Anolis sagrei: one gene and its partners. The protein of the gene in region 4 purifies or fractionates together with the protein of the main gene of each other region. This does not show direct contact. Links are inferred from orthologs where the notes say so. Each region holds a gene or a part of one and is shown on either strand. Other genes may lie near its edges. The genes, in order: MMS19, CIAO2B, ACO1 and FBXL5.

The links.
Region 1: the proteins of FBXL5 (region 4) and MMS19 purify together in Homo sapiens (affinity purification with mass spectrometry; 4 studies listed by BioGRID and IntAct, counting the BioPlex papers as one, with this or other methods). This does not show direct contact. The link is inferred for Anolis sagrei from reciprocal best matches to the Homo sapiens genes FBXL5 and MMS19.
Region 2: the proteins of FBXL5 (region 4) and CIAO2B purify together in Homo sapiens (affinity purification with mass spectrometry; 3 studies listed by BioGRID and IntAct, counting the BioPlex papers as one, with this or other methods). This does not show direct contact. The link is inferred for Anolis sagrei from reciprocal best matches to the Homo sapiens genes FBXL5 and CIAO2B.
Region 3: the proteins of FBXL5 (region 4) and ACO1 purify together in Homo sapiens (affinity purification with western blotting; 3 studies listed by BioGRID, with this or other methods). This does not show direct contact. The link is inferred for Anolis sagrei from reciprocal best matches to the Homo sapiens genes FBXL5 and ACO1.

The regions. Positions count from the first base shown.
Region 1 is NC_090023.1:217,825,284-217,832,758, reverse strand, and holds the start of MMS19 (MMS19 nucleotide excision repair protein homolog), read left to right. Parts: upstream 1-4,453; 5' UTR 4,454-4,491; coding exon 4,492-4,585; intron 4,586-7,475. UniProt on the Homo sapiens protein: Key component of the cytosolic iron-sulfur protein assembly (CIA) complex, a multiprotein complex that mediates the incorporation of iron-sulfur cluster into apoproteins specifically involved in DNA metabolism and genomic integrity.
Region 2 is NC_090028.1:95,321-102,944, reverse strand, and holds the start of CIAO2B (cytosolic iron-sulfur assembly component 2B), read right to left. Parts: upstream 3,002-7,624; 5' UTR 2,934-3,001; coding exon 2,795-2,933; intron 984-2,794; coding exon 904-983; intron 1-903.
Region 3 is NC_090022.1:205,178,488-205,185,991, forward strand, and holds the start of ACO1 (cytoplasmic aconitate hydratase), read left to right. Parts: upstream 1-4,495; 5' UTR 4,496-4,608; intron 4,609-7,504. UniProt on the Homo sapiens protein: Bifunctional iron sensor that switches between 2 activities depending on iron availability. Iron deprivation, promotes its mRNA binding activity through which it regulates the expression of genes involved in iron uptake, sequestration and utilization.
Region 4 is NC_090025.1:108,299,316-108,306,238, forward strand, and holds the start of FBXL5 (F-box/LRR-repeat protein 5), read right to left. Parts: upstream 3,019-6,923; 5' UTR 2,916-3,018; coding exon 2,832-2,915; intron 1-2,831.

The DNA of each region.
Region 1 (7,475 bases), on a different chromosome or scaffold from region 4:
CAGTGCAAGAAAATTGAAAACATGACCTTGCTTTTAGTTTAGAATGTTATAATATGCCAAGGACGTTTTATCTGCCCGTATTTGTTACCATTCCTTTCCCTATTTGCACAGTCTCTGTTGTGTGATGCCATTGCTTCTCCCAGCACTCCCCATCATTTGTTGTCTCTCCCACTGCTGAGATCATCACCTTCTGTTGTCAATGGTACATTTTTAACTCAATGGTTTTCAACCTCTAGTTCTCCAGATTGTGTGGTTTCGGCTGCCAGAATTCCTGAACATTAGGCTACAACTTCTATGTGTTGAAGTCTAAAACAATTGGAGGTTCACCTACACTTAATTAATAAATAATCTGATTGCTATAGCCTATGGAGGAAAAAGCATTTAAATAACATTCTGAGATCTACCAGCTAGAAGCAGGTGCAAAATAGTGGCTGGAGTGCAGATTTGAGATACTAATGCTGGCTAAGGAAGCAGAGCTAATCATCAGTTATAGTTCATGATGCATAGACTAGGATGTGTTTATAAATCTATATCTGAGTGATTCCAGATCAGTAATTCTAACACAGTGCTAAAATTGCCTAGCAGAGCTTCACTAAGATGTGGTCATAAATAATAAATTAACTACCAACAGAGCTTTAAAAAAATTTAGTAAAATAATTACTTTACAGGAAATGAACAGTGAGGCTGGGAGATAAGTGACTGACATAAAGCCCTGAAAGGGAATTTATTTAATTTTTACTTGCTATTATTAAACTGCTGGAAGTGAAAAACCCTTTCCTTTATACGACTAATCACCAGCAGTCTGTCAGTATATACCTATATTTCATGTATCCAAGGAACATGTCTAAATATCTCAAAATTAAATATGCCCATTTAGGGTTTTGGCAGGTTGTACAATGCATAACAAGCCCTGCATCTGTGTGTGTCAACTTTGCATGGATAAACAAATCTGAGGCTATTTTATTTTATTTATTTATTTCCCGTATTTGTATCCCGTCACTTCTCAACCCCTGAAGGGGGACTCAGGACGGCTTACAATGTGCCCCGTTACAAGGCCGCTACATGACAATTACAATAATAAAATCACAATTGGACACAAATAATAGTTAAACAATACATAAGCAATCATTAAAACAGTAAAACAGTCTTGTCAGCCATATTGTCATTCCAGTCATGTCCCTCTAAAGTGCTGCTATATCTAATGTCTGAAAGCCTGGTCCCAAAACCATGCCTTTAATTTCTTTTGGAAAGCCAGGAGGGAGAGAGCCGATCTTACCTCTGTTGGGAGTGTGTTCCATAGGCAGGGAGCCACCGCCGAGAAGACCCTGCCTCTCGTCCCCGCCAGACGCATTTGTGCTGTTGACGGGAGCGAGAGCAGTGCCTTCCCGGATGATCTTAGATTACAAGGTTGGATGTAGGGGTGGATGCGTTCGGACAGGTAAGCTGGGCCAGAACCATATAGAGCTTTATAGGTCAAAACCAGCACTTGAATTGGGCTCAGAAATGGACCGGCAGCCAGTGGAGCTGGCACAACAGGGGGGAGGTATGTTCCCTGTATGTCGCCCCAGTTAGTAATCTTAATTTCTATTGAAATGAAGGACATCTGTCTAAGAATATGATTGGAGCTCCTTCTACACTGCCATATAAAATCTAGATTATCCGTTTTGAACCAGATTATATACCAGTGTAGGCTCATATAACCCAGTTCAAAGCAGATAATGTGGATTATCTGCTTTGATAATCTTGATTATATGGCAATGTAGAAAGAGCTAGAGTCACACTGGAGGGCTTAGAAAATTAGAGGACCTATTTGTCAGACATGGATACACGAAACCCATGGATACAGAGCTCATACTCTTCTGTTCTCTAATGGGAAGACTACAGTTGGTTATAATGAGTTTCTAATCTTAATGTTGGATGTTATCTCAAAAGCATATATTCAAAATAAATATTGTTCCAGCCAGTTGACAAAATTATGAGATCAAACCCTCTGTAACAGTCTCCCTCACACATACAAGTCCCGGTGACCTAACCTTTTAAAGATATCAATAACTTTGTGGGATTTAGACATAATACTAAGGGCCCCTCTACACTGCCATATAATCCAGAATATCAAAGCAGATAATCCACATTATCTGCTTTGAATTGGATTATCTAAATTTACATTGCCAGATAATCCAGCTCAAAGCAGACATTCTGGATTATGTGTTTGTGTGGAAGGACCCTCAGTCTCTTTGTTTATCTCGTTTAGCCAATGGTACTTTTTTTGGATGTTACTCTTCACTGGTTAAAATCTTTGATCCATCAGCAAACCAATTCTTTATTTCAGTATGTGTATTTTTTCTATAAAGCCATCCAGTAAAATGCAGTATATTTGAACAAAATGTTGAACATTATAAAACAACAAACAGGAACAAAGGTCAATCACCTTTGCCTTCTGCTTTTCCTTTGTCACATTCCCACTTGAAATAAATCTTGGATCTGCATCACTTTTAAAACCTCACTATGTTTATTCTAGGGCCCTTCCACGCAGCTATATAACCCAGAATATCAAGGCAGATAATAATAATAATAATAATAATAATAATAATAATAATAATAATGTTTGTTGTTTATTCGTTCAGTCGCTTCCGACTCTTTGTGACCTCATGGACCAGCCCACGTCAGAGCTCCCTGTCGGTTGTCACCACCCCCAATTCCTTCAGTCAAGCAAGTCACTTCATGGATAACATCCATCCATCTTGCCCTTGGTCGGCCCCTCTTCCTTTTTCCTTCCATTTTCCCCAGCATCATTGTCTTCTCTAAGCTTTCCTGTCTTCTCATTATGTGGCCGAAGTATTTAATCTTTGCTTCTACTGTCCTTCCCTCCAATGAGCATCAGGCTTTATTTCCTGAAGTATGGACTGATTGGATCTTCTTGTGGTCCAAGGCACTCTCAGAATTTTCCTCCAACACCACAGTTCAAAAGCGTCTATCTTCTTTCGCTCAGCCTTCCTTATGGTCCAGCTCTCACATACGTAGGTTACTGCGGGAGATACCATTGCTTTAACTATTTTGATCTTCTTTGCCAGTGTGATGTCTCTACTCTTAACTATTTTTTCAAGATTGGCCTTTGCTCTCCTCCTCAAAAGTAAACTTCTGATTTCCTGGTTGCAGTCTGTGTCTGCAGTAATCTTTGCCTCCACGTTTTCTTCCTCTATTTGCCAGTTATTAATCAGTCTTGTTGCCATAATCTTTGGGTTTTTTTTTTTTAAAAAAACTTCAGCCCAGCTTTTGCACTTTCTTTTTTTACCTTGATTAGAATGCTCCTCAGCTCCTCCTTGCTTTCGGCCATCAAAGGGGTATCATCTGCATATCTAAGGTTGTTAATGTTTCTTCCAGCAATTTTCACCCCAGCCTTGCTTTCCTCAAGCCCTGCACATTGCATGATGTGTTCTGCATACAAGCTGAATAGATTAGGTGAGAGTATGCAGCCCTGCCGTACGCCTTTCCCAATCTTGAACCAGTCTGTTGTTCCATGGTCAATTCTTACTTTTGCTACTTGATTGTTATACAGATTCCTCAGGAGATAGACAAGATGATTTGATATCCTCATACCACCAAGAACTTGTCACAATTTATTATGATCCACACAGTCAAAGGCTTTAGAATCTATATAAATAAAAATGTAATGTTAGTTTGTGGGATCAACATAACTCAAAAACCACAGGACGAAGTGACACCAAATTTGGACACAGTACACCTCTCAGGCCAACAAGTGACCATCACTCATAAAAACACTGAAAAACACAGCAGAAGAGACTTAAAAACCAAAAACCATTTTTTTTACAACAGATGTGCAAAACCACATACAAACACACATATACACAAATATAGACACAATAAACACATATATACAGACTGGACCACAGCAATGCATGGCAGGGGATGGCTAGTAGTCAATAAAACAGAAATAGATGTTTTTTCTGAAAACCTTCCCAGCTGGTAAACTGGGAAGGATTGCTGGGAGTTGTAGGCTGAAACACCTGGGGACCCACAGGTTGAGAAATACTGTGTTAAGTCTATTAAAAAGGTAAAGGTAGTCCCCTGACATTAAGTCTAGTCATGTCTGACTCTGGGGTGTGGCGCTCATCTCCATTTCTAAGCCGAAGAGCCAGCGTTGTCCGTAGACACCTCGAAGGTCATGTGGCCGGCATGACTGCGTGGCTCCTGGTTAAGTCTATTAGACCTGGGCAAACTTCGGCCCTCCAGGAGTTTTGGACTTCAACTCCCACAATTCCTAGGGAGTTAAAGTCCTAATCCCCTGAAGGGTCAAAGTTTGCCCAGGTCTATTGTAAAGTGTGCGCTTTTAGTCAATGGGACCAGGCAGCACCGCTTCCCTCGCCCTGCTTGGAGCTTGGCCTTGGGAGGCTGTCCCACGTGACAGGCAGGGAGAGAGACGCGCATGCGCCGTCGCGGCCTCTCCTCGCCCTACTGACTCTCGGCCTGATCATGGCGGCCGGCGGGGCGGGCGGGGACCTGGGGGCGGCTGCCTCCCCGTTGCAGGGCTGGGAGCGGGAAAATGCGGCCCGCGAGGCGGCGGAAGGTAGGGCTGGAGTAGAAAAGAGCGGAGGGATGCCTTAGAGCGGGAGGAAGGAGATGCTTGAAAGGGGGAGAGCATCTACTCCAGGCATGGGCCAATTTGGGCCCTCTAGGTGTTTTGGACTACAACTCCCACCATTCCTAACAGCCTCAGGCCCCTTTCACCTGGAGGGCCCAAGTTGGCCCAGGCCTGTTCTGCAATGTAGAATGAATACAGTTTGGCACCACTTCAACTGCTATGGCTCAATTTTATTGACTTTATGGGAATTGTAGTTTTACAAGGTCTTGCAACTTCACTGCTGGAGGCTGTGAGTGCCCCCCACCAAACTACAACTCCCATGATTCCATAGCATTGAGCCATGGTAGCTCAAAGTGGTGCCAAACTGCTTTAACTCTACAGTGTAGATGTTTGACACTGAGCTGTTAGAATATCATATGTCAAGGCCATTTCAGTGGAGTGACTTATATGAAATCCTGATCAAAATGAGTCAAGATCATGTGTAGTCAAATAAGGCATCAGTTTCTCTATTTCTGTGCATCTACATACTTCAGAATAAGGAAAATAGAGTGGGGGCAATTGGCTATTATCTCCAAGCAGTAAGAAGGCCAGCTTGTAGATGTGTGTTAATCATAGTTTCCGATGTGCTCCTGAGAATAGTTTCATTTTATTTGTTCTTGTGGGTAAGGTTGTGTTTAGCATTGTTACAGCTACATTTTTGTTGCTAACCATGCCGACTGCTACATGTATAAATTTGCACCAAAATTGTTTCCTTCCTTTATTGTTGCATTGTTTCCTTCCTTTATTGCATTCTACTTTTTCTTCAAATGAAATCCAAAATTATTTTGTTGTTAAATATGCAGCATAGAATCATTCAAAACATGAATGGAAAATTTGAAAAGATGGGAAGGGAAAAGAAAAACATTGAAGCTTTCTTCTTTGTCCACCTCAGCTAGCACTTCACTTGGATGTAAATAAGAAGCTCTGGCATGTTATCAGTCTTCTGCATCCCTGTGTTTTGTTTTGTTTTGTTTTTGAGAAGGAGCTGACCCTGAGTATCCAAGAGCAGATGCTGCTCATCTGCTTTTTGGGTGTGCATACTGCTCATCCAGGGACAGCCAGAAGGCTGAAGCAGATGCATGTAGTAATGTTTCTGACATGGAAAGCCTGAGTACTGCAACCTTTTATTATTTAAAGAAGGAGCCCCCAGTGGCTCAATGGATTAAACCCTTGTGCCTACAGGACTGCTGACTTAAAGGTCATTAGTTTGAATCAGGGGAGCAGGGTAAGTTCCTGTCTGTCAGCTCCAGCTCCTTGTGCAGGGACATGAGAGAAGCCTCCCACAGGAGGTAAAACATCTGGGTGTCCCCTGGGCAACATCCTTGCAGACGGCCAATTCGCGACTTTTTTTTTTAAAGAGACAAAACTTGTAGTGTTAAGGATCCCTGTGATGGAGATTCAACTGTGTAAGAAAGCATCCTGCTTGATGGTCCTATAGATCTGTGATTAAAATTTCTGTGATTAAATTCCCTGTTTATATCCAAGCCAAATTTTGTTCAACTTGGATCTTACCTGATAGCTCTACATAAGGTCAAAGTGCAGTGCCTGGGGTAATTTTCTCACACTTGACCACATTATATTTACAGTTGTACTAGAAGATAAAAAGAGGAGTGAAGATAAAAAATGGCGGGCCTCCCATTTTACAATGGGAGTGTACCTTGTACAACACATAAACCTTAGAGTGTACAGTCCTAAAAGTATTCATAAATAAGTCCCATAGTGCTCAGTAGAACTTATTTCTAGTAAATGTTCTTTGGATTGCAGCTAATGACAGTTGCTCAACATGTGTCTTTCTGGGAGTTCAGAAGCGAACTAAGTCTCTTGATTATCTCTCTAAAATGTCTAATTTAATGACTGATTAAAATATTGTCTTGCTTTTGGCAGGCATTTTCTTTCTGGGGTAAAAGGAAAGTGTATTTTGCTGTTTTCTGGGGCTGGGAATAGGGTTAGGCAATGCTTGTAGGGTTAACTTCTGAATGCCAGCCTTGCAGATTAAAATAATATTTCTGCTAACTAACTCTTACAGACTTGTGTATAAGAAGAAAAAGGAAAAAAATAAACCCAGATAAAAAGCCAGCAGTTTCATGTGCTTTGCTCACTGGGAGTCATTGCTGCAGCCTTTGTTAACTGTCTTTGTAGATTCTGTAACACTTAATTAGCATGAAAGAAGCAGTTTGACCATCATAAATTTTGATTGGTCCAGGACACACATAAACAAAATGTTTTCTCTATGATGTCTTCGAGATTAGGCAGAACTACCTTGGATGCTGAAGTGCTTATATAATTCATTCTTGCAATAGACCTGCTGGGACTGTGCTCACTTCCTTGTATCCTACCATCACAGCATTGTCAAATTGAGACCCCAACTACACTGATAATTTAAAGCTGTTTCAAACTGGTATTGAAGAAAGCGTTTTCACTGTGCAGATGATTTTATAGGACATTCTGGAACCAGCACAAAGCCCAAATGATGATCATACAAACAAAAGAGCTCATTAAGGGATTTATTTTGGGTGCTTTTGTGGGAGTTTGGTTTGGTATGATATTAAATGGTCAGTGTTGATGTGGCTTCAGGCAGACCATTCTTAAGGGCCTGGAAACAGCATGATTAGCAGCAGTTGTTTTTCATAGAACTGCAAGAATATAACAGATATTCAGAAGATTTGACAAAGCAGACATGATGATACTGTAATACTTGCTTTTTCTGGGGGAGTAGCATGGGGTGAGGAGGGCAAATGAAGGTAGGTTCTACTCACTTGAATGCAGAACAAATCAGCCTTGTGTTTATTTTTTTAATTTCAAAAAACCCTGGTAGCTTAAGGCAAGTGAGTGAACT
Region 2 (7,624 bases), on a different chromosome or scaffold from region 4:
CAGGAAGTTCTTCCTCATGTTCAGATGGAATCTCCTCTCTTGTAGTTTGAAGCCATTGTTCCTTTGTGTCCTAGTCTCCAGGGAAGCAGAAAGGAAGCCTGCTCCCTCCTCCTCCCTGTGGCTTCGTCTCACATATTTATCAATGGCCCTCATCATATCTCCTCCCAGCCTTCTCTTCTGCAGGCTAAATATGCCCAGCTCCTTAAGCCGCTCCTCATAGGGCTTGTTCTTCAGATAGTAAGTAGATATATATATATACACACAGATAGATTGATACTGATAGAAGGTAAGTAGATAGATATAGCTATTTGATTTGTCATTGATCCACTCTGGCTTTGTGCAAATCTCCTATTTCCCAAACTATATGATCCTGTGCTTTGCTTTTCTATTTCCGTCTGAACAATTTAACCCTTGGTTCCTCCCCACTGAGTGCAAGGCCTGTGGCCTCTTCCTCTCCAGCTTGGGAGTCGGATGTCCACCCGCGGCCTTTTGCAAGAGGCTCTGTCCATCTCATTTTTGCCCCACAGGCCTCTTTGACCCTGCCCCACAGCCCAGTTCTTTGGCGCAGCTCCTCATGGCTGGCGTTCTCTCTCCTTGTCCTGCCACACGTCCATCCATCCATCCATCCATCCATCTTTCTTTCTTTCCTTCCTTCCTTCTTTCCATTGCTCTCTGGGTCACCGCCAACTTTCCGTCCTCTATCTTTGTTGTTGCCTATGTTCTTGCCCGTGTGTGTTTGTGTAAGGGGGGTGGGGGGTGGTGGTGAGATAGCTAGCTAGAAAGAGACATAGACACACAGAGACATAGAAAGAGATGTAGACTCATGGAGACATTGAGAAACTGATAGTGATAGATAGTGACAGAGATGCAGACAGAGAGATCTAGGCAGAGAGAGAGAGAGACCTGGACGCGTGCCTCCTCGACCACGTTGAGCTCCTCCAGGGTCAGCGGGTGCTCCGGGTCCGAGATGGCGCGGATGAGGTGTGCGGGTGTGTTAAGGAGAGAATACTGCATAGCTATGAATGTGTCAACCTTGCTCATACATGTGTAACTGTTCAACAGGAATCCACCCAACATCTTTGCTAAGTTCATTTTGGAGTTATTGGTTGTTCAGTCTTGCATCGTAGTTCATTATGATGCACAATACGTGAATGCTGAACAATTCAGTGGAAAGGGAAATGGCAACACAATGAACTAATAATAACAGTTAATCAAACCGAACCGTTGATGAAGTGTGCACTTCTTCCTAAGCTATCTGATGTGAGAGAACCGCATCCTGCTCCCTCGCTGCAGCAAACTGGGACCATCTTTGTGTACCCTGGTATCAATTCCCCCCCCCCCCCCCCCCGGGAAACTCTCCAGGTCCCAGCCACCAATGGGCCAAGGCCAATCCGTGGAGCATTCCTTTGAGTCGCACTGATTTAACATCAACAATACTTCTTTTTTAGGTCAAAATTCTAGAGACGTATATTTAAAAACTGTCAATAAAAATAACCATGAACAATTTATACATCTCAAATAAACATCAAAGAAAACAAAACAAATTGTGGCGCAGCTGGCTGAGCGTCATCTGCATTCAGATCTCTCTGACCAAAAGGTCATGAGTTCAAAGCTAGCCCGGGTTGGAGTGGGTTTCCAACCAATTGTGTAGCCCGTTGTCGACCTTTGCAACCCGAAAGAGAGTTGCATCTGTCAAGTAGGAAAATAAGGTACCACCTTTAAAAAGTGTGGGGAGGCTGGATTAACTGATTTATGAGGCCATAAAGAAGACTCCAGCAAAGCATTCCAGCGGGAAGCATGCGGGGAATGCGGAAGTGCTTCATCAGCGTCGCAGATGGACGAGGAAAGCGACGGCTCCCCTGGTGCCCAGAAAAAAGTGAAATAGCCTCTGTGTATGTATATGTTTGCATGTCAAAAATTGGCATTGAATGTATTGTCGAAGGCTTTCATGGCTGGAATCACTAGGTTCTTGTGGGTTTTTTCGGGCTATAGAGCCATGTTCTAGAGGCATTCTCTCCTGACATTTCACCTGCATCTATGGCAAGCATCCTCAGAGGTAGTGAGGTCTGTTTGGTAACTGGGAAAAGGGGTTTATATATCTGTGGAATGGCTGAGGTGGGGCAAAGGACTCTTGTCTGCTGGAGCTAGGTGTGAATGTTTCAGCTGATCACCTTGATTAGCATTTGAAGGCCTGCCTGAGCCTGGGAAAATCTCTTGCTGGGAGGTGTTAATCTGGTTGTTTCCTCTCTGTTATTTTGCTGCTGCAATTCTAGAGTTTTTTTAATACTGGTAGCCAGATTAACACCTCCCAGCAAGAGATTTTCCCAGGCTCAGCCAGGCCTTCAAATGCTAATGAAGGTGATCAGCTGAAACATTCACACCTAGCTCCAGCAGAGAAGAGCTCTTTGCCCCACCCCAGCCATTCCACAGATATATAAACCCCCCTTTTCCCAGCTCCAGCAGACCTCACTACCTCTGAGGATGCTTGCCATAGATGCAGGCGAAACGTCAGGAGAGAATGCCTCTAGAACAGCGCCACATAGCCCGAAAAAACCCACAAGAACCTACTGGCATGGAATGTTTGCCATATATGTGTGTACACTGTGATCCGCCCTGAGTCCCCTGCTGCGGGGGGAGGAGAAGGGCCGAATAGAAAAGCTGCACATAAATAAATAAGTAAATAAATAAACAGGAGGTCCTCCTTCCTTCCTCCAGGCAGGGCAGCCCCCTCCCCTCCCCTCCCCTCTAAAGCCCCCCCCCCCCCCCGCCCATTCCCCGCCGGCGGGAAGGATATCGAAGACCTCCCTGGGGTCGATGGGGTCCGGCAGGGCCTCGTCCTCCTCGCGCGGCGTCACGGCCCGCTCGCCCTGACGCCGGAACACCAACGGGTTCGCGTTCTCCAGCAGACCCTTGCCCCCACCCGCCATCGCCATCGCCAGGCGCCTCCGCGCCGGAACGCCTCCGCCGGGACACGCGCCCCCGGGGAACCACAAGCACGGCGCACACGCTTCCGGAGGACGGGACAGGGAGGGAGGGGGGAGGGAAGGAGGGAAGGAGCCCGGCGCGCGCGCCCCCTGCCGGCCCGGGGAGGGAGGGAAGGAGGGAGGGAGGGAGGCTCAGGCAGGAGGCGCCGCCAATGGGGGAAACCGGGGCGAGGAGCCTCTCGCTCGGCGGAATGGCCGGCCAGCAGGGGGCGTGGAGGGAGGGAGCGGGTTGCACACAACCGGCTTCACAGCAGAGACGCTAGAGCTGGTGTTCGGGGGGTGTCTATTCGTGGCCACTTTGTTGTTGTTATTATTATTATTATTATTAGCCGTCTCCTGCCAGGCGTTGCTGTGGCCCACATGGGGGTTCTGTGTGGGAGGTTTGGTCCAATTCCATCGTTGGTGGGGTTCAGAATGCTCTGTGATTGTAGGTGAACTATACATCCCAGCAACTACAACTCCCAAATGTCAAGGTTCTACTTTTCCCCAAACTCCACCAGTGTTCACATTTGGGCATATTGAGTCTTCGTGTAGAGCAGGGGTCCCCAAACTTTTTAAACAGAAGGAAGGCCAGGTCACAGTCCCTCACATTGTTGGAGGGCCAGGTTATAATTGCAAAAAACAAAAAAAACCCACCCCCAAATAAATTCCTATGCACACTGCACATCTCTTATTTGTAGTGCAAAAACACTTAAAACATAATAATTAAAATGAAGAACAATTTTAACAAATATAAGCTTATTAGTATTTCAATGGGAAGTGTGCGCCTGCTTTTGGCTGATGAGATAGGATTGTTGTCGTTGTTGTGTACTTTGAAGTTGTTTCAGACTAAGGTTGACCCTGAGTTTGAGGATCCCTGGTGTAGAGTTTGGTCCAGATCCATCATTGTTTGAGTCCACAGTGATCTCTGGATATAGGTGAACGACAACTCCAAAACCAAAGGACACTGCCCTCCAAACCCTTGCAGTATTTTCTGTTGGTCATGGGAGAACGGTGTGCCAAGTTGGGTTCAATTCCATCATTGGTGGGGTTCAGAATACTCTTTGATTGTAGGTGAACTATAAATCCCAGGAACTACAACTCCCAAATGACAAAATCATTTTTTTGAGTGAAGGTCACTCATTGGGTTGTTATGTGTCTTGTGTCCAAATTTGGTGTCAATTCGTCCAATGGTTTTTGAGTTCTGTTAATCCCACAAACGAACATGACATTTTGATTTAGATAGATTGTGTATGTAGAAAACAAAACAAATAAAAGGGGGAAAAAGAAAAAAAATATTCAAAAAATTTACCAAAGAGTGGGGTCAGGGGGTGGGGTTCATGGGGGGGGGGGGATAGAGGGTTATGAAATGTTAAGGTATAAATAATTGTACAACCAAATCTGTTTGTTCGTATGTTTAATGAGCACTGAATATTCACTCTTTTATTCGTGGCCACTTGATGTCCTGGCGCAGAGTCTTTCCCTTTGCGGGACTGAGGTCCTCGGGGGAGGTCCAGGCACAATGGCTGGGGGCCAGAGAGATAGAGAGACAGGGGCTTCTCGGTGGTGGCCCCCCGGCTGTGTATCTCCCTCCCTGGAGAGAGGAGAGCACCCCCTCCTCCCTCTCCTTCAGAAAGAGGGTCAAGACCTGGCTGCGGGACGGAGCCTTTGGGGCAGGGCAAGGGGGCAAGGACAGGACACACACACCCCTCGGATGACCGGAGCCAGCAGTAGCAGGGTGAGCCTAGATATGGAATGCTTGCTGGGTGTATGCGTTGTGCTCTGCCTTGAGTCGGGGTGAGAAGGGCAGAATATAAGGGTCTCAAATAAATAAAGTGTTCCAGCAGCATTCTCTCCTGACCTTCCCCCTGCTGCGGAGGCCAAGGTCATCTTCAGAAGATCTAACCCAAACCCTAATTGGCCAACAAGTTAAACATGAGCCAGGAATGATGTGGCGGCAAAAAAAGCCAATGAGATTTTGGTCTGCATCAAGAGGAGCCTCGTGTCTAGATCTAGGGAAGTCTCTCCCCCCCCCCCCCTCCCCGGTGCTCTATTCTGCTTTGGTTAGACCACGTTACCTGGAATATTGTGTCCAATTCTGGGCACCACAATTCAAGAGAGATATTGACTCTAAGCTGGAATACTGTGTCCAGAGGAGGGCAACTCAAATGATCAAGGGTCTGGATGATATCGAGCTCTTTTAGGGGGCTCCTCCAGACGGGAGAGCCCTAGGACTGCACCAAAAAGAGTCCTGGATACCTTGGTGAGATTTTTCCGGAAGCCAATCCAAGAGCGCAAGAATATTTTTTAATATATAATCAGCTCACCAGAGGCGGAAGAAGTCCAGCGATCGAGGTTTCTTTGCGATTCAGCTGAGTCGGATGCAATTGTAGGGATAGTTCCTCTACAAGCATCCAGATACAAAGATTTCAGGCATTTTTATACAGTACAGAACAAAAGAAAGCAGTTTGAAACTCCCGCTGCCCCTTGCCGGCCGGCTTGATGCTGATTGACTGAGGCTGGAACAGCTGGGAGGAGGCTTGGCGGCCCGCCTCAGCTTACAGCCAATCAGAACGTTTCCTCGCCTCAGGAGGGCCAATGAGCGCCCTCCGCTCGCTTCCGAGTCTGGACCAATCAGGAGCGAGGAGGGTGGGACGGCCGCAGACAAAGGGGAAAGATGATGGGATTTGGATTTCCTGCCTGCTGGAATGCGGGCTTTGTCTTGGGCAGGAAAAGGGTGATATTTGGTACACAAAGAGCTTTCCTGTCCTTGATGGGTCTGGCGAGTGACTTGAATGGGCTAGATCGATATCGGACCACCCGGAGGGTCAACAATATCTGGGTGAATTAATCAGTCTCTTTTTCCGAGGCTCTGCTGACCCCTGTTCCCTCGCTGGCCTTGCTCCGAGGGCTAGGGTTGGGGATCAGCAGCATTGTCCGTGCTGATGAGTCAATCAATGGGTGATTGAGGAAGAGGCTGGGGCTCTTCCCTCAGGCAGTTCCTGGTCACGCCGGTTTTTGGTGGGGCGAGGGTCAAGGGGGGTGAGGATACAGAGGAATTCATAAGGGTTACATATTTCATAATCACAAGGCATAGGCATCACTAACTTACAGGCATTTCATATTCTTACAACCCACAATCCACCCCTAACCCCAGTTCATTACAGTAAGAAAATATTTTATTTATTTCATAAAAAAAGGAGAAAAGGAAAACTGGAAATCCCAAAGTCCGGGCGAAGAGGCTTGGAGGTGGAGGTCAGCCCAGGGTCCGGGCTAGCCAACAGAAGATCGGTTCTTCTTTGAAGCAGAAGCTGGAGCTGAAGGGGGAGCTGAGTTCCACTGCTCTGTCCTTGGTAAAACTAGCGCTCCCAACCGAGGATCGGGCCTCCCTGCCCGCCCCTCCTCTCCCAGGGCTCTTTTTTGGACAACGGCGGTGGGTCCCCGGCAGCGGGGGCCATGCAGGAGCGAGCGGCAGTGAGCGAGATGCAGCAGTCCGGAAAAGCCGGCAAAATTTGAAAATCAGCTGTTGACTCGGCCAGATTTAATATTTAAACAAAAACAATTATTTCCCGGGTGCAGGAGTCCAAAATGAGAAAACCAAGATGGCAGTTAGTCTTAGAATCTAATGCAGAAAAATATGAAATTTGAACGGGGCCGATCCGCCATGTTGTTGTTTTGGCGGATAAGGGGGCCCATTAGGAAAACCTCCGTATCCGCGGTTTTAACTAACGCAGATTTGGGGCCCCGGGGAGGCCGGGAAGGCATCCCCGGTGAGCTCACGGCTCCCCAGAGCTCAGAAAAAGGTTTATTTTTTGTTAGAAAAGTTTCAGTCAGTAAAGGACACAAAGTATCAAGCGGAAAGGATTTAAAGTTTCAAATCTTAAGTGTTTTATTAGGGGCTTTGTTACAAAGAGAGGGAGAGGGGAAAGTGAAAGAAAGGCTTCTTGCAGCCTTGAGTTTAGCTTGAGCTGCTCGCTGGGGCACATTCCATCAGTCAGGCCCAACTTGGCTCTCCGGAACTGCGGAACTCCCTGCTGCGGTTCAGACCAGCTTGAAGGCGGGAGATCCTGCCGCCTGGGGGGACAACATGGAGAACAAGCCCTATGAGGAGCGGCTTAAGGAGCTGGGCATGTTTAGCCTGAAGAAGAGAAGGCTGAGAGGAGACATGATGAAGGCCATGTATCAATATGTGAGAGGAAGCCTCAGGGAGGAGGAGGGAGCAAGCTTGTTCTCTGCTTCCCTGGAGACTAGGACGCAAGGGAACAATGGCTTCAAACTACAAGAAAGGAGATTCCACCTGAACATGAGGAAGAACTTCCTGACTGTGAGAGCCGTTCAGCAGTGGAACTCTCTGCACCAGAGGGAATGTGGTGGAGGCTTCTTTGGAGGCTTTAAAACAGAGGCTGGATGGCCATCTGTCCTGGGTGATTTGAACGTGATTTTCCTGCTTCTTGGCAGAATGGGGTTGGACTGGATGAAGGCCCAGGAGATCTCTTCCAACTCTAGGATTTGATGATTCTATGATCTAATGGCGATAAAGCAAGTGGAATGCACACACACACACACACACACACACATATCTGTGGAATAGTGTCCAAGAACCCTCGTCCATGAGAGCAAGTGCGCATGCTGCAATTCGCCAGTTTGAATAGCATTGCGTA
Region 3 (7,504 bases), on a different chromosome or scaffold from region 4:
CATGCTCCTCTGGCTTTGAAATTGTACTGCATCCCTCTTATACACCTGACCTCGCACCATTGGACTTCCACTTCTTTCCAGCAATGATATTTTTGAAGGGCAAGGATTTTTCAGATGAGGAAACTCTGATTTATGAAGTCACAACATGACTTTTGGAGCAACCTGCCAACTTCTGCAAGCAAGGTGTTTTCAGTTACTTAAAAAGATGGGAGAAGTGTGTGTCTCTATGTGGCACCTATGTAGAGAAGGACTACTAACTATGCCAAGTTTCCTTGCTCTCGGTCCACAGGAAGTAGGTCAGGGGAAATCTTTCATTATCATGAGATAAGATTGTTCGTATCTTGAGATCTCAGCTGATGCTCATTTCAGCAACCCTACACTGATCATCACAGAAATCTGTGCTGCTTTCTTCGGGGAGAAAGGCAGCTTAACCTCTTCCAAGTTCCCAGCAGCAGCCAAACCAAGCCAGACAACCTGCTTGCTATGACAGTCCTGTGGAGCAGAAGGGGTGCCATGGGACCACAGAATACATATCTGTCAAGGCATCCCGTTCATTTTCCTCCCCTTGGCACCTCATTGTTACCTTGGGGGTCCTGGAAAAGGTCCAAAGAGCACTGTGAAAGGCTGTCATCTGACTGATTGATGCTAGTTTGGCAGAAACTCTCTTTATGCTTGCACTTTATGCCACATGCTTGGGATGTATAGTTGCACCCCTCAGGATCTTGTCAGACTCATGGAAGTAGGACACATGAATGGCACCAGCTCCACTACAGGCACAATAGTCACAAACCTCCCTGTATTTCTTGCTTGGGGACTCAGTTGTTTGTCCTACACTCCTCCGCTATCTTGTCATGCCCTTTTGCCCTTATCTGTTCTGACACATTCTGTAGGATTTCATAATTTCTATTTCTATGTGAAACTTTCAGCTGTGCTTGCATTTTCCCAGGCCCCATAGGCCTATGAGGTACAGCGTCTCCTGATGCCTTAGGATGCCCCTTTGCACCTTTTGGGGTCCCTTGTGTTTAAAGTGAGGTTAAGGGCTGTGCATCACATGGAACATTTGCTTTTATGGGGATATTTAGTGCTCTGTTGCAGCACAATTTTTGCATGATTTCTGATTTTCTTCTGACTTTTTTAAAACATGCATTTTCCCTGCTGATGAACATTGCAGTGCACATTAGAGGTGTGTGTTTTTGAAGCCACCTTCCTCCCTCATAATCCACTGCATTTTGGATCTCCTGGTCTGCGTAGATGGCACCCATAAATTGATGGTGAGGTCACGAAGAAGAGTCCTAAGTGACTGAACGAATAAACAAGTATCTTGATAGTGGTTAACAATGAATACATTTCAACACTAGAGGGCAGGTTTTGCTTAAGTATATGTACGTCAAGTCAACAATACTGTACAAAACCATACAATAGATACTTATATATAGATGCTTATGTGTTCTTAAGTTTAATTTGTATGTAAGTCAGAATAGGTACACTTTTAAAGTGATTTTAATGTTTGTATATATTTATGGTTTTATGTTCAGCATTGAATATTTGCCTTATATATCTTGTGCTCTGCCCCAAGTCCTCTGCGGGTTGAGAAGGGCAGAATATAAATGTTTTAAATAAATTAAATAAATAAATAGTGTGTAACTTTAAATGCATATAAGCATTCGGTAGCATAGGTAAGGGTTAACACTCCTGTGATGTTTGTTCTGCCGCCTGCGCCCCTGTTCAGAAGATTTCCCTTCACTTTTTGTCCCTGTGAAAATTGGATTTTGAAAAAAAAAAATTGGCTTGTTTTGAAAACAAGGATTGGTGAGAAAGCTTCAGTGGAGACACCCTTTTCCCATTACAATAACTCTTTCAGTAGTGAATGTCCCTTCCTAGGGATAGATTTCCCTCACTTCCTGTTGTCTCACCTCTGATCTTAACTCAGAGTCATTTGAAAATCAGATATTTGTAACTGTCCCTGTACAGCTACCGTAACTAGTAATGTTTTAATGGAGCCTTTTGTGGTAGAGGAAATCCATTGACAGGTGGGATTGGATGGGGATATGAATTTTAAAGCCATTTTAGTGTACTTACTGTATTTTAATTCTGTTTTTCCTTCACTGTTACTATTTAATTGCTTTTTAACTTTTGCATTGCCCTTTTTAAATGTGTCTAGTGTGGATATTATCTGATAATCTGGATTATATGGCAGTGTATTTAATTTATGGTCATATGTTTTCAACTTTGTTGTACCCCACCTCAAGCCATCAGGAGAGGCGGGTAATAAATAAAATGTATTTATTTATTAATCAGCCAGGCCTTGAAGCTGCAAGGCTTTGCAATGCTAATCAAGTTGATTAATTGTAACAATCACAATTGCCTCCAACAAACAAGAGTTCTTTCTCCCACTCTGGACCTTCCACAGATATATAAACCTCCCTTGCTTAGTTTACAATATGCATTAGGACAGAATGCTTCTGGAACATGGCCATACAGCCCGGAAAATTCACAAAAACCCAAAATGTATTATTCTTTTTATTATCATTAAAAAGATGTTAAAAACAGCTGCAATCCACTGGGTGGCATCATTATTATTAAGGTTATTTATATCCCACTTTTTTGCCAACTGCAACTCCCAAGATGCCGGGGCTGTTCAAGCGGTGCCAAACTGCACACATTTTACAGTGTTCCCCACCAAACGGCAACTCCCAAGATGCCAAGGCAGTTCAAGCAGTGCCAAACCACACACATTTGACAGTGTGCCTCACCAAACTGCAACTCCCAAGATGCCAGGGCAGTTCAAGTGGTGCTAAACTGCACACATTCGACAGTGTGCCTTGTCAAATTGCAACTCCCAAGATGCCAGGCAGTTTAAGCAGTGCTGCACCGCACACATTTGACAGTGTGCCTTGCCAAACTGCAACTCCCAAGATGTCAGGACAGTTCAAGTGGGACCAAACTGCATGCAGTCAACAGTGTGGAGGCAATGAAGCAGACTCTGGGACTTCAGTGACCAGCAAAGAAAGGGTCAAGAATTTGACATCTCTGACCCATCCCCTGAATAGATATCAGCCAACATGCCAACCTCTTAATTCAAGAAACAGCTTCCTAAGGGTTAGGGCAAGGGTTAGGGTTTGGTTTAGGTTTACAGTTAGGGTAAGGGTTAGGGGTTACAGTTAGGGTACGGTTTAGGGTTAGCGTAAGGGTTTGGGTTTGAGTTAGGGTTAGGATTAGGGTAAGGTTTAGGGTTAGGGTTTGGATAAGGGGTTAGGCTTAGGCTTATGATACGGTTCAGGATTAGGGTTAGGGTATGGTTTAAGGTAAGGGTTTGGGTAAGGGGTTAGGTTTAGGCTTACGGTACAGTTCAGGGTTAGCGTTAGCGTTTCACCATTAAAGAACTCTTACATTCCTTACATTATCTGTCTCCGGCCTGGCTTACATTAGCTAAATCTCTCTTGTGCATCCCGAAGGAGCAATGCGGCATCTCCGTAATGCTCGGAGCTTCCAGACCCAGCTATCATACTATTACCATGGCTTCTCTCATGTCCCCGCATGGGGAGCTGGAGCTGACAGAGGGAGCTCATCCTAGCTCTCCCCAGATTCGAACCTCCGACCTGTCAATCTTCAGTCCTGCCAGCTCAAGGTTTTAACCCAGGAGTCCTCAACTAAGGCCAGAGGTTCAGATGTGGCCCTCCAAGGTCATTTACCTGGCCCTCGCTCACAGTCTGAAACGACTTGAAAGCACACAACAACAATCCTATCTCATCAAGCCCACACTTCCCATTGAAATACTAATAAGTTTATATTTGTTAAAATTGTTCTTCATTTTAGTTATTATATTGTTTTAAAGTGTCTATTGCACTACAAATAAGATCTGTGCAGTGTGCACAGGAATTCACTCATGTTTTTTTCAAATTATAATCCGGCCCTCCAACACTTTGAGGGACTGTGACCTGGCCCTCTGTTTAAAAAGTTTGTGGACCCCTGGTTTAACCCATTGCGCCACCAGGGGCCAGCTAACACCTTCCAACAAAGGATCCCCCAGGCAGCAACCAGCTAGGCTTTGAAGCTGAAAGGCCAATAAATGCTAATCAAGATGGCCAATCGGAACATTTACACTTTCCTTCTACAGACAAGAGTTTTTTCTTCCACTCTGGACATTCCACATTTTCCTCGTTTCCAACAGACCCCTCAACCTTTGAGGATGCCTGTCATAGATGGAGGCGAAACGTCAGGAGGGAATGCTTCTGGAACATGGCCAACATGGAAAACTCACAGCAAACCAGTGCCTTCGACAATGCCAAGTTTTTAACTTTGTGGTTTTTAAATATATTATAACTGTATTCTCAATTTACTTCTGAAGCGATAAATAAATAGTGACCCCAGAGGGAGAGCTTTGGGCTCAGATCAGATGAGAAACCAGGAGGAGGAGGCTTTCCTGGGGCCTGAAGGGAGGAGGAGGAAGCGCCCTCCTCCTCCTCTCCTCCTCCTCTCCTCCTCCTCCGCCTCCTTGACCCGGGAAGGAGGAGCCTGCGCGCAGAGGCAGAGCCGAGTTCAGCTGGCGGCTCCTGCTTTCTGGGCTGCACCGTGGCTTCTCCTTCTCTTCCCTGGGCCTCCGTCCAGGTAGGTGCCTGAAGCGCCTTCCCAGCGCCTGCCTGCCTGCCTGCCTGCCTCCCTTCCTTCCTTCTTTCCTCCTTTCTCCCCAGGCTTTTCTTGATCTCTGCTTCCTGCCTTTTCTGACTCCAGAGTAGCGCCTCCATAGTTGTGAATTTCCTTTTGGGATCTGGGGGGGGGGGGGGTGTTTATTTCTCTTCCTTAGTGTATTCTGCCATTGAATGTTTGCCATTTTTTGTTATTGGAAACCTCTCTGAGTCCACTGTGTTGTCGAAGCTTTCATGGGCAGTATCATTGGATTGCTGTGAGTTTTCTGGGCTGTATGGCCATGTTCCAGAAGCATTCTCTCCTGACGTTTCGCCTGCATCTATGGCAGGCATCCTCAGAGGTTGTGAGATCTGTTGGGATTTAGGCAAGTGGGGTTTATATACCTGTGGAATAATGTCCAGGGTGGGAGAAAGAACTCTTGTCCGCTTGTGTCAAGTGTGGATGTTGTAATTTGCCACCTTGATTAGCATTGAATGGCCTTGCAGCTTTAAAGCCTGGCTGGTTGCTGCCTGCAGGGGAATAACGTGATTTTAACAGCAATTGCTATGTTTATATGTTTTAATCTGTATTTAATTTTAATTTTAAAATATTTAATTTTAATGTATTTTAACATTGTTGTTCAAAGGCATTGAATAGTTGACATATGTAAAGCTGCCTTGAGTCCCCTTTGGGTTGGAGAAAGGCGGGATACAAATAGAGTAAGTAAATAAATAAATTTGTTGGGAGGTGTTAGTTGGCCCTGATTATTTCGTGTCTGGAATTCCCCTGGTTTTTGTGTTCCTCATTATTTACTGTCTGGATTTTAGAGCTTTTTTTAAAATACTGGTATCCAGATTTTGTTCATTTTCATGGTTTCCTCCTTTCTGTTGAAATTGTCCATGTGCTTGTGGATTTCGGTGGCTTCTCTGTGTAGTCTAACATGGTGGTTGTGAGAGTGGTCCAGCATTTCTGTGTCCTCAAGTAATATGCTGTGTCCAGGTTGTTTCATCAGGTGGCTGAGTCCCTTTGGGGAGATAGGGTTGTATAAAAATAAAGATTATTATTGTTGTTGTTATTGTTTTTGTTTTTATTTCTGCAGACCCCTTTTATTATTTCACCCAACTTTTGCTCCAAAGCAGGCCTACTTCCAGAAGCACTACTCACTCACTGCATAGAAGGCCTGCCAAAAGGCAGGCTGCATCTGCTGTCACTGACATGGCTTCCTGGGTGTTGTAGTTCGGTGAGGCACCAGCCCTCTTTGGCATAGAAGGCAAAAGGCCTCATGAAACAAGGGCTCCTTCCAGACAGGCCCTATATCCCAGGATCTGATCCCAGTTTTTTTTTGTTTATCCCAGATTATCTGGCAGTGGGGACTCATATAATCCAGTTTAAAATAGAAAACTTGGAATCGGATCCTAGGATCTGGGGCCAATCTGGATACAGGGCCAGCCTGCAGGCATGGCAGTTCAGAGTGCCTTCATTCTACAGCAAGCATGGGCCAACTTCAGTCTACAGTCTCCAGCCTCCTCTATGGACACCCCCCCCCCCCCATGGTGCAGTGGGTTAAACCAGGGGTCCTCAAACTTTTTAAACAAAGGGCCAGGCCACAGTCCCCCAAACTGTTGGAGGGCCAGATTATAGTTTGAAAAAAATATTTCTATGCACACTGCACATATCTCATTTATAGTGCAAAAAACACTTTCAAACGATTGAAATGAAGAACAATTTTAACAAATATAAACTTATTAGTATTTCAGTGGGAAGTGTGGGCCCACTTTTGGCTGATGAGATAGGATTGTTGTTGTTGATGTTGTTGTTGTTATGTGCTTTCAAGTCGTTTCTGACTTAGGTTGACCCTGGGCAAGGGCCGGGTAATTGACCTTGCATATTCGGCCCTCGGGCCTTAGTTTGAGGACTCTTGTGCCGGCAGGACTGTAGACTCACAGGTCACAGCTTCAAATCAGGGGAGAGTGTGGATGAGCTCCCTCTGTCAGGTCCAGCTCCCCATGCGGGGACATGAGAGAAGCCTCCCACAAGGATGGTAAAACATCAAAACATCCAGGCATCCTCTGGGCAATGTCCTTGCAGACAGCCAGTTCTCTCACACCAGAAGCGACCTGCAGTTTCTCAAGTCGCTCCTGAAATGAAAAAAAAAAAAAGCCTTCTCTGTCAAAGAGTTCTGTGCCTCAGCAAAATGCAAATCCCATGATTCTATAGCTTTGAGACATGGCAGTTGAGGTTGTGTCAACTGCATTAATTCTAGTATCCTTCCTTTCACCAGATTCTTAAAGGGATATAGGACCCAAAAAAGTTTGAAATCCACTGAACTAATTATACTGTTAGATTGGAAACTTTTCTTTCTTTCATTCTCTTTTTTATATTCTTGATTCTTGAGACACCACACCACAAAGGGTTTTGATTTGCCTTGGAAAATAAGTTTTCAAATTTCTCAGAGTGCCTTTTATTGAGCAGTATTATTTCTTTCCTAAACCCTTTTCATTAAAAAAAATGTCCTCCCTTTCTCTTTCTCCTTTCCCCTACTTACCCTGTTTGTCAGCAGGAGCAAAGTACATTGTCCTTTGCTTCAGGCTGTGGTTTATTCTCCCCTCCCTTCCCAAGATGCCAGAGGCTGTTTAAGCTCCGAGGTCCTCTTGGGTGGGCATTTCCCTGCTTATATCAAAACAAACTAAGCACAGCACACGTTTTATCTTGATCAACTTTAAATTGAGGATTATGATTCTTAGATCCTTAGGATTTTCTCCTAACTGCTGACTGTGTGTTGTGATTGGGGGCAGGAGTATAAGATAGGTAGAGTCTGGTAAAGTTATGCTTTTGATTCCAACTTGGGGGTCCTAGCCATCCAAAAAAGTAACTTTGC
Region 4 (6,923 bases):
CACATTATCTGTTTTGAACTTGAATATATGGCAGTGTGCACTCAGATAACCTACTTCAAATCAGGTATTGTGAGATTTTCTGCCTTGATATTCTGGGTTATATCATCATCAATATTATCATCATCAAAACTTTATTTGTCTCCTGCCCCCTCTCCCCATAGGGACTCAACATTAAATAATAAACAAAGCAAATGGGCAATATAAACAATCAATTATATGACTGTGTGAAAGGGCCCTGGGTTATCTGAGTCCACGTTGCCTTCTTTCGTTGCCACCACCATCACATAAAAGGGGGCCTTCTCAATGTCTGCTCCACAGCTCTGTAACTCCCTTCCAAAAGACATCAGAATGGCCCCCTCCCTACTAACTTTCAGGCTTCAGATAAAAACTTTTATCTGGAAGCAGACCTTCAATGAAAATTAATACAAGCTCGATAGGCGCCATAGTAATATCTGGTGCTGAACATTTCTGTGCAATACCTTATGGACATGTGGAAATTGGAAGGATAATGGCTTCGGTTTATGTTTATTATGTGCTTAACTATACTTAAAGTACTGATTGTATTTCAATCAGTAATGTGTTTTATTACGGTTTAATTGTCTTATTATGTTTTCATTGTTATTACTGACTATGTCAATTTCCTTTTTGTCCTAACATTCCTGTATGTTTTATATCTTGTTGTTAGTTGCTTTGAATCCCCTGTGGGGGAGAAAAGCAGGATGTAAATAAATAAATAATAACAATATATTCCAGTTCAAAGCGGAAAATGTGGATTTTATTTAGCTGTGTGGAAGGGGCTGTAGAGGCCTCCTTTCCTTTCCAGTTATGTCACAAGTGGCTTACAAAGAAGGGGGCTACGCCTAGAAAACCTCAAATGTAAAAGTGACAAAGTGCAAGGTGAAGACTGAAAGGAGGAAGTGTCTTCCAGGGTGAATAACTGCAGCTTGACCCACTTTGGCACCATCCACACACAGCTGAATAAAATCCTACGTTTTTTGCTTTGAACTGAAATATATGGCAGTGTGGACTCAGGGCCCTTCCACAGAGCCTTATAACCCAAAATATCAAGGTAGAAAATCCAACAATATCTGAGTCCATACTGCCATATATTCTAGTTCAAAGCAAAAAAAATAAATATGTGAGATTTTATTCAGCTGTGTAGAAGGGGCCTCAAGGCCCTTGCACACAGCCATATGACCCAGAAAAGCCACAATATCTGCTTTGAAGTTGGTTGTTATAGGGTGCTTCCATGCAGCCCTACATCCCAGAATATCAAGGCAGAAAATCCCACAATATCTGCTTTGAACTGGATTATCTGAGTCCACGCTGTCATATATTCCAGTTCAAAGCAGATATTGTGGGATTTCCTGCCTGGATATTCTGGGTGATATGGCTGCATGCAAGAGCCTTTAAAAGAGTGGGACCCCTTCCTAAATGGTTCTGGCCCAACTTACATATGTGAACGCATCTCCCCTTATGAACCATCTAGGACCTTAAGATCATCTGGGGAGGCCCTGCTCTTGTTACCGCCTTCATCACAAGTAAGTTTGGCGGAGACAAGAGACAGAGCCTTCTCGGCGGTGGCCCCTCAGCTGTGGAACACCCTCCCTATAGATATTATATCAGCCACCTCCCTTTTAACATTCTGGGAAAAAGTGAAGATGTGGCTTGTTGAACATGCGTTTCCAAATGCCGAGTAACTGTCATAGGAAAATGGAATGACGACAATGAGGCCGGACAACATTTTTAACAAGGAGACACTATGAATTTATATTTTATTGAGATGTTTAATTTTTTATTATATGTTATGTTTTAAATTATATTTATGATATTGTAAGCATTGAATTTTACCCTGTTCACCCCCTTGAGTCGCCTATTGGCTGAGAAAGGCGGTATACAAATACAGCAAATAAATAAATAAATAGTTGAATAAAATCCCACATTATTTGAACTGGAATATATGGCAGTATGGACTCAGATAATCCAGTTCAAAGCAGATATTGTGGAATTTTCTGCCTTGATATTCTGAGTTATATGGCTCTGTGGAAGGGTCCTAAGTTTTTGTCATGAAGGGACGCCAGAGGAGTCTTCGCGGAAGTGGATAGATTTAGGGCCCTTCCAGGCAGCCCCTATATCCCAGGATCTCATCTCAGGTTGTTTATCCCAGATTATCTGGCAGTGCGGGCTAATATTGTGGGGTTTTCTGCCTTGATATTCTGGGTTATATGGCTCTGTGGAAGGGTCCTAAATTTTCGTCATGAAGGGAGTGGAAGTGGATAGATTTTGGGCCCTTCCAGGCAGCCCCTATATCCCAGGATCTGATCCCAGGTTGTTTATCCCAGATTATCTGGCAGTGCGGGCGCATATAACCCAGTATAAAGCAGAAAAACTGGTATCAGTTCCTGGGATATAGGACCTGTCTGGAAGGGGCCTTAGAGTCGACGGAGGAAAAGAGGTGAGGAAAGAGGGGTGAGGAAAAGAGGTGAGAGTGAGTCCTGGGATGTCTTGGCGGGGGGAGGGGGGAGCCTTCCCAGAAGAGCGGCTGTTCCGCAAGGCCAGTGGAGGGAGGGGGTGTGATGCTGATGAGGCGCTCAGAGCGGCGCGCGAGGCGGGGACGTCTGCGCAGCCGCCAGTCTCGCCCCTCTCCTCAGATCGCGCGCGCTCGCCGCCCCCTCCCCTCCCCTCTGCTCTCGCGCCCAAACCCTCGCGCGCCAGGCTCCGAACCCTGGCTGATGGAAGCGCGAAGGGCCGGAGGCGTGTCTCGGCGGCCGAGAGGGTTCCGCAGAGCCCCGCCTGGCCGCCCCGCTCTCTTCCCAACCCGGCCTCCGTACCTTGTCGCAGTAGAGCCCCACGAGCTGCTTCATCCGCCAGTGCGGGGCCGTGAAAACATCCACCTCCTCAGGGAAGGGAGCCATCTTCTCTTCCCCATATAGAGGCGCTCGCTCGACGACCGCGGGTCAAACGGCGGCAGGCACGGCCTTCGCCTTGCGCACGCGCGCCGCAGCGGCCGCTCGCGACCCGACGCGGAAGGCGCATGCGCTGGCAGGTTGCTTCACAGGTCACGTGCGAAGCGTAGACCCAAACGAGGCGGAAGAGGCGATTTCCGAGTGCGCCGTTGGGGAGACGCCATGTTTCAGCGCCGCCCTTGAAAACCAGGGAGATTTCCATTCAGGGCCCTTCCAGGCAGGCCCTACATCCCAGAGTCTGATCCCAGGTTTTCCCTTTATCCCAGATTATATGGCAGTGCGGACTCAATCCAGTTTAAAGCAGGCAACCTGAGATCAGATCCTGGGATATAGAATCAGAGTTGGGCCATCCAGTCCAACCCCCTGCCAAGAAGCAGGAAAATTGCATTCAAAGCACCCCCGATAGATGGCCATCCAGCCTCTGTTTAAAAGCTTCCAAAGAAAGAGCCTTCACCACACTCTAGGGCAGAGAGTTCCACTGCTGAACATCTCTCATAGGAAGTTCCTCCTAATGTTCAGGTGAAATCTCCTTTCTTGCTGCATGGGTCCTTGCACATAAATGCCTTTTCGAAGAGTTCCCAAATTTTGAGGCCGTTTTTTCTGCTGAGAAAAACAATGTGGGCAGTCAGAAAATGGCTGCACTTCAACCCACCTTGCATAGGAAGAAAACATCTTTGGTTAGGTTTATACAAGTCTGAGAATTTGCTTTTCTCTGTTGTAAATAGACTTTGTGACGCTATCCTACCGTGAATGGAGATTATTTGCAGTAGAACTTTGTGAGCACAAATATATCATGTGATAAGGCAACAACCTTCAGGCAAGTTATCTCCAATTGAAAAGCGATTTTAGTCTGGACCGTGGCACACTGAGATGGAAGCCCCTTCTACACTGCCATATAAAATCCAGATTAAATTATTTGAACTGGACTATATGGTAGTGTAGACTGATATAATCAAGTTCAAAGTAGATAATATCATAGAATCATAAAATTATAGAGTTGGAAGAGACCTTGTGGACCATTCAGTCCAACCCCCTGCCAAGAACCAGAAAAATCACATTCAAAGCACCCCCGACAGATGGCCATCCAGCCTGTACTTAAAAAACTCCAAAGAAGGCGCTTCCACCACACTCAGGCAGAGAGTTCCACTCCTGAACAGCTCTCATAGGAAGTTCTTCCTAATGTTCAGGTGGAATCACCTTTCTTGTAGTTTGAAGCCATTGTTCCACATCCTAGTCTCCAGGGCAGCAGAAAACAAGCTTGCTCCCTCCTCCCTATGACTTCCTCTCACGTATTTATACATGGCTATCATGTCTCCTCTCAGCCTTCTCTTCTTCAGGCTAAACATGCCCAGCTCTTTAAGCCACTCCTCATAGGTCATGTTCTCCAGACCCTTGATAATTTTAGTTGCCCTCCTTTAGGGAGGGTCCTCCATTGTAAACGGGGAAGCTGCCAGTAAGGGCCCTTCCACACAGCCATATGATTATAATAAAATAGTTAAAAACTAATTTCTACACACTAGCATATGGAGAGGAGGAGGATTGGATGACGGATGCACAGCTAAGTAGGCCCTGTTTGGAAATTACTATTGCGTATGGGCTTTGATGACTTTGTTGGCCTTGTTGACACTACTGGCCATATAATTAATTTTAAACATTGCAAACGATCTTTTATGTGTGTGTGTTTTTAAAAACAAATGGTTGTACTTTTATGTTAATTATTAGATCAGGTTCTTAATGTTAGATTGTGTGTTTATAACTTGGTTTTAGATGTTGGTCTACTTTGGGATTTAGTTGGTTTGTTTATTTGTGTCTATTATTTTTCAAGGCATTGAATTTTTGCCTTTTTGTCTGTAGGAATCCGCCCTGAGTCCCCTTGGGGACATAGGACGGAATACAAATGAAGTATTAGTATTATTATTACATAACCTGGAATATCAAAGCAAAAAGTCCCACAATAACTGCTTTGAACTGGGGCCCCTTCCACAGAGCTGAATAAAATCCAACATTATTTGCTTTGAACTGGAATACATGGCAGTGTGGATTCAGATAACCCAGTTCAAAGCAGATATTGTGGGATTTTCTGCCTTGGTATTCTGGGATATAGGGCTGTGTGGAAGGGCCCTGGGTTATCTGACTGCCCTTTCACATAGCCATATAACCCAGAATATCAAGGTATTAGATCTTTCTGGTGGAGTTCAGAATGCTCTTTGATTGTAGGAGAACTATAAATCCCAGCAACTACAACTCCCAAATGACAAAATCAGTTGTGCCCCCCCCACCCCCAACCCCACTGTCTTCAAATATGAGTGTATTGATTGGGTATTTGTGCCAAATTTGGTCCAGTGAATGAAAATATATCCTGCATATCAGATATTTACATTATAATGCATAACAGTAGCAAAATTACTGTTATGAAGTAGCAATGAAAATAATTTTATGGTTGGGGGGTCACCCCAAAATGAGGAACTGTATTAAGGGATTGCAGCATTAGGAAGGCTGAGAAACTGGTTTAGAGGGCACTGTGGTTTTGGCTTTGAATACATTTTAAACTAGTTTTAAGGATTTACACTGTTTATTTTTATACCATTAATATTTAATTCTATGTTAATGTTTGTATGTTCTTCAGGTTTTAAATTGTATTGTATCTGTTTTATTGTAAGCCACTTTCAGTCTCTGGATAGAAAAATGGGGTATAAAGAATAATCATAAATAACAACATTATAGCTGTATTAGAAAATAGCAGCTCAATAATTTGTTGTTTTGTTCAGAGTGCAGTGTAACTTTTTATTTTGCACACAAAAATCAAGGTGGCATCATAGCAACAAAATTTTAGCAGCAAACCAAAGAAACAAAATATCACTCTCTAGGCCAAGAAAACAACAGTTTCCAAGCAATGTTAGAATGCCAGTAGTGTGGGAGCCGTGCAAGTTTCTGTGGGAGGATGTTCCATAGCCTAGGCAACCCTAAAGAGAAAAAAAGCCTTGTCTGCCAATTAGACTTCTGGTAACAGTGGGATGTGCTGCAGTTTTTTCCAATTCCCAGCTTGCCCAATGAAACTAAGGGACAATGTTCTACTTTCTGGACAAAAATATACTTTCAATGTGTAAAAAAAACAAAAAAAACAAACAGAAAATGTACTGCTTCTTGTTTTGCACGCACAGCCATAAATTGCTTGGTCCCTATGAAAGGTCTAAAACCAGACATTTTTACCTCTGTCATCAATTTTTCAATTTTCTGTGGTGGGACTGTGTGTGCCTGTGAGGCAAGAGGCTATTCTGGTGGTAGCGGTACAGCTAGTAGGGCCACCTAGTGTTCATGGTTTGAGTGAGTGGGTCAGAGATGGGGCTAAGCCCACAGTAGCAATAAAGGTAAAGGTAAAGGTTTCTCCTGATATTAAGTCTAGTCATCTGACTCTGCGGGGTGGTGCTCATCTCCATTTCTAAGCCGAAAAGCCGGCATTTTCCTTAGACACCTCCAAGATCATGTGGTCAGCATGACTACATGCAGCATCTTTACCATCCCGCAGAAGCGGTACCTATTGATCTACTCACATTTGTATGTTTTTGAACTGCTAGGTTGGCAGAAGCTAGGCCTAACAGCGGGAGCTCACCCTGCTCCCCGGATTCGAACCACCAATCTTTTGGTTAGCAAGTTCAGCAGCTCATCGGTTTAACCTGCTGTGCCACCAGGGGCCCCAGTAGTATACCCTTTCACAAATAAAAATCAGGATGTTTGTGCGCAGATCTGGGTGTGATTATTCAAAGGGGTCTCCTCAAAGAAAATTCTGTTTAACTGGAATGGCTCTCCATCTCCCCTGTGTTTTGAAAGTGCGTTCATTCCATTTGCTTCCTTTCAGAAGCAATTTGAAGTCATATCACACAGGATATACTGTTCCAAAGCAAGAAGAGGCTGTACCAGTTTTTGCCTGGATCTACTGGGAAGGGAAAGATTCTGTCC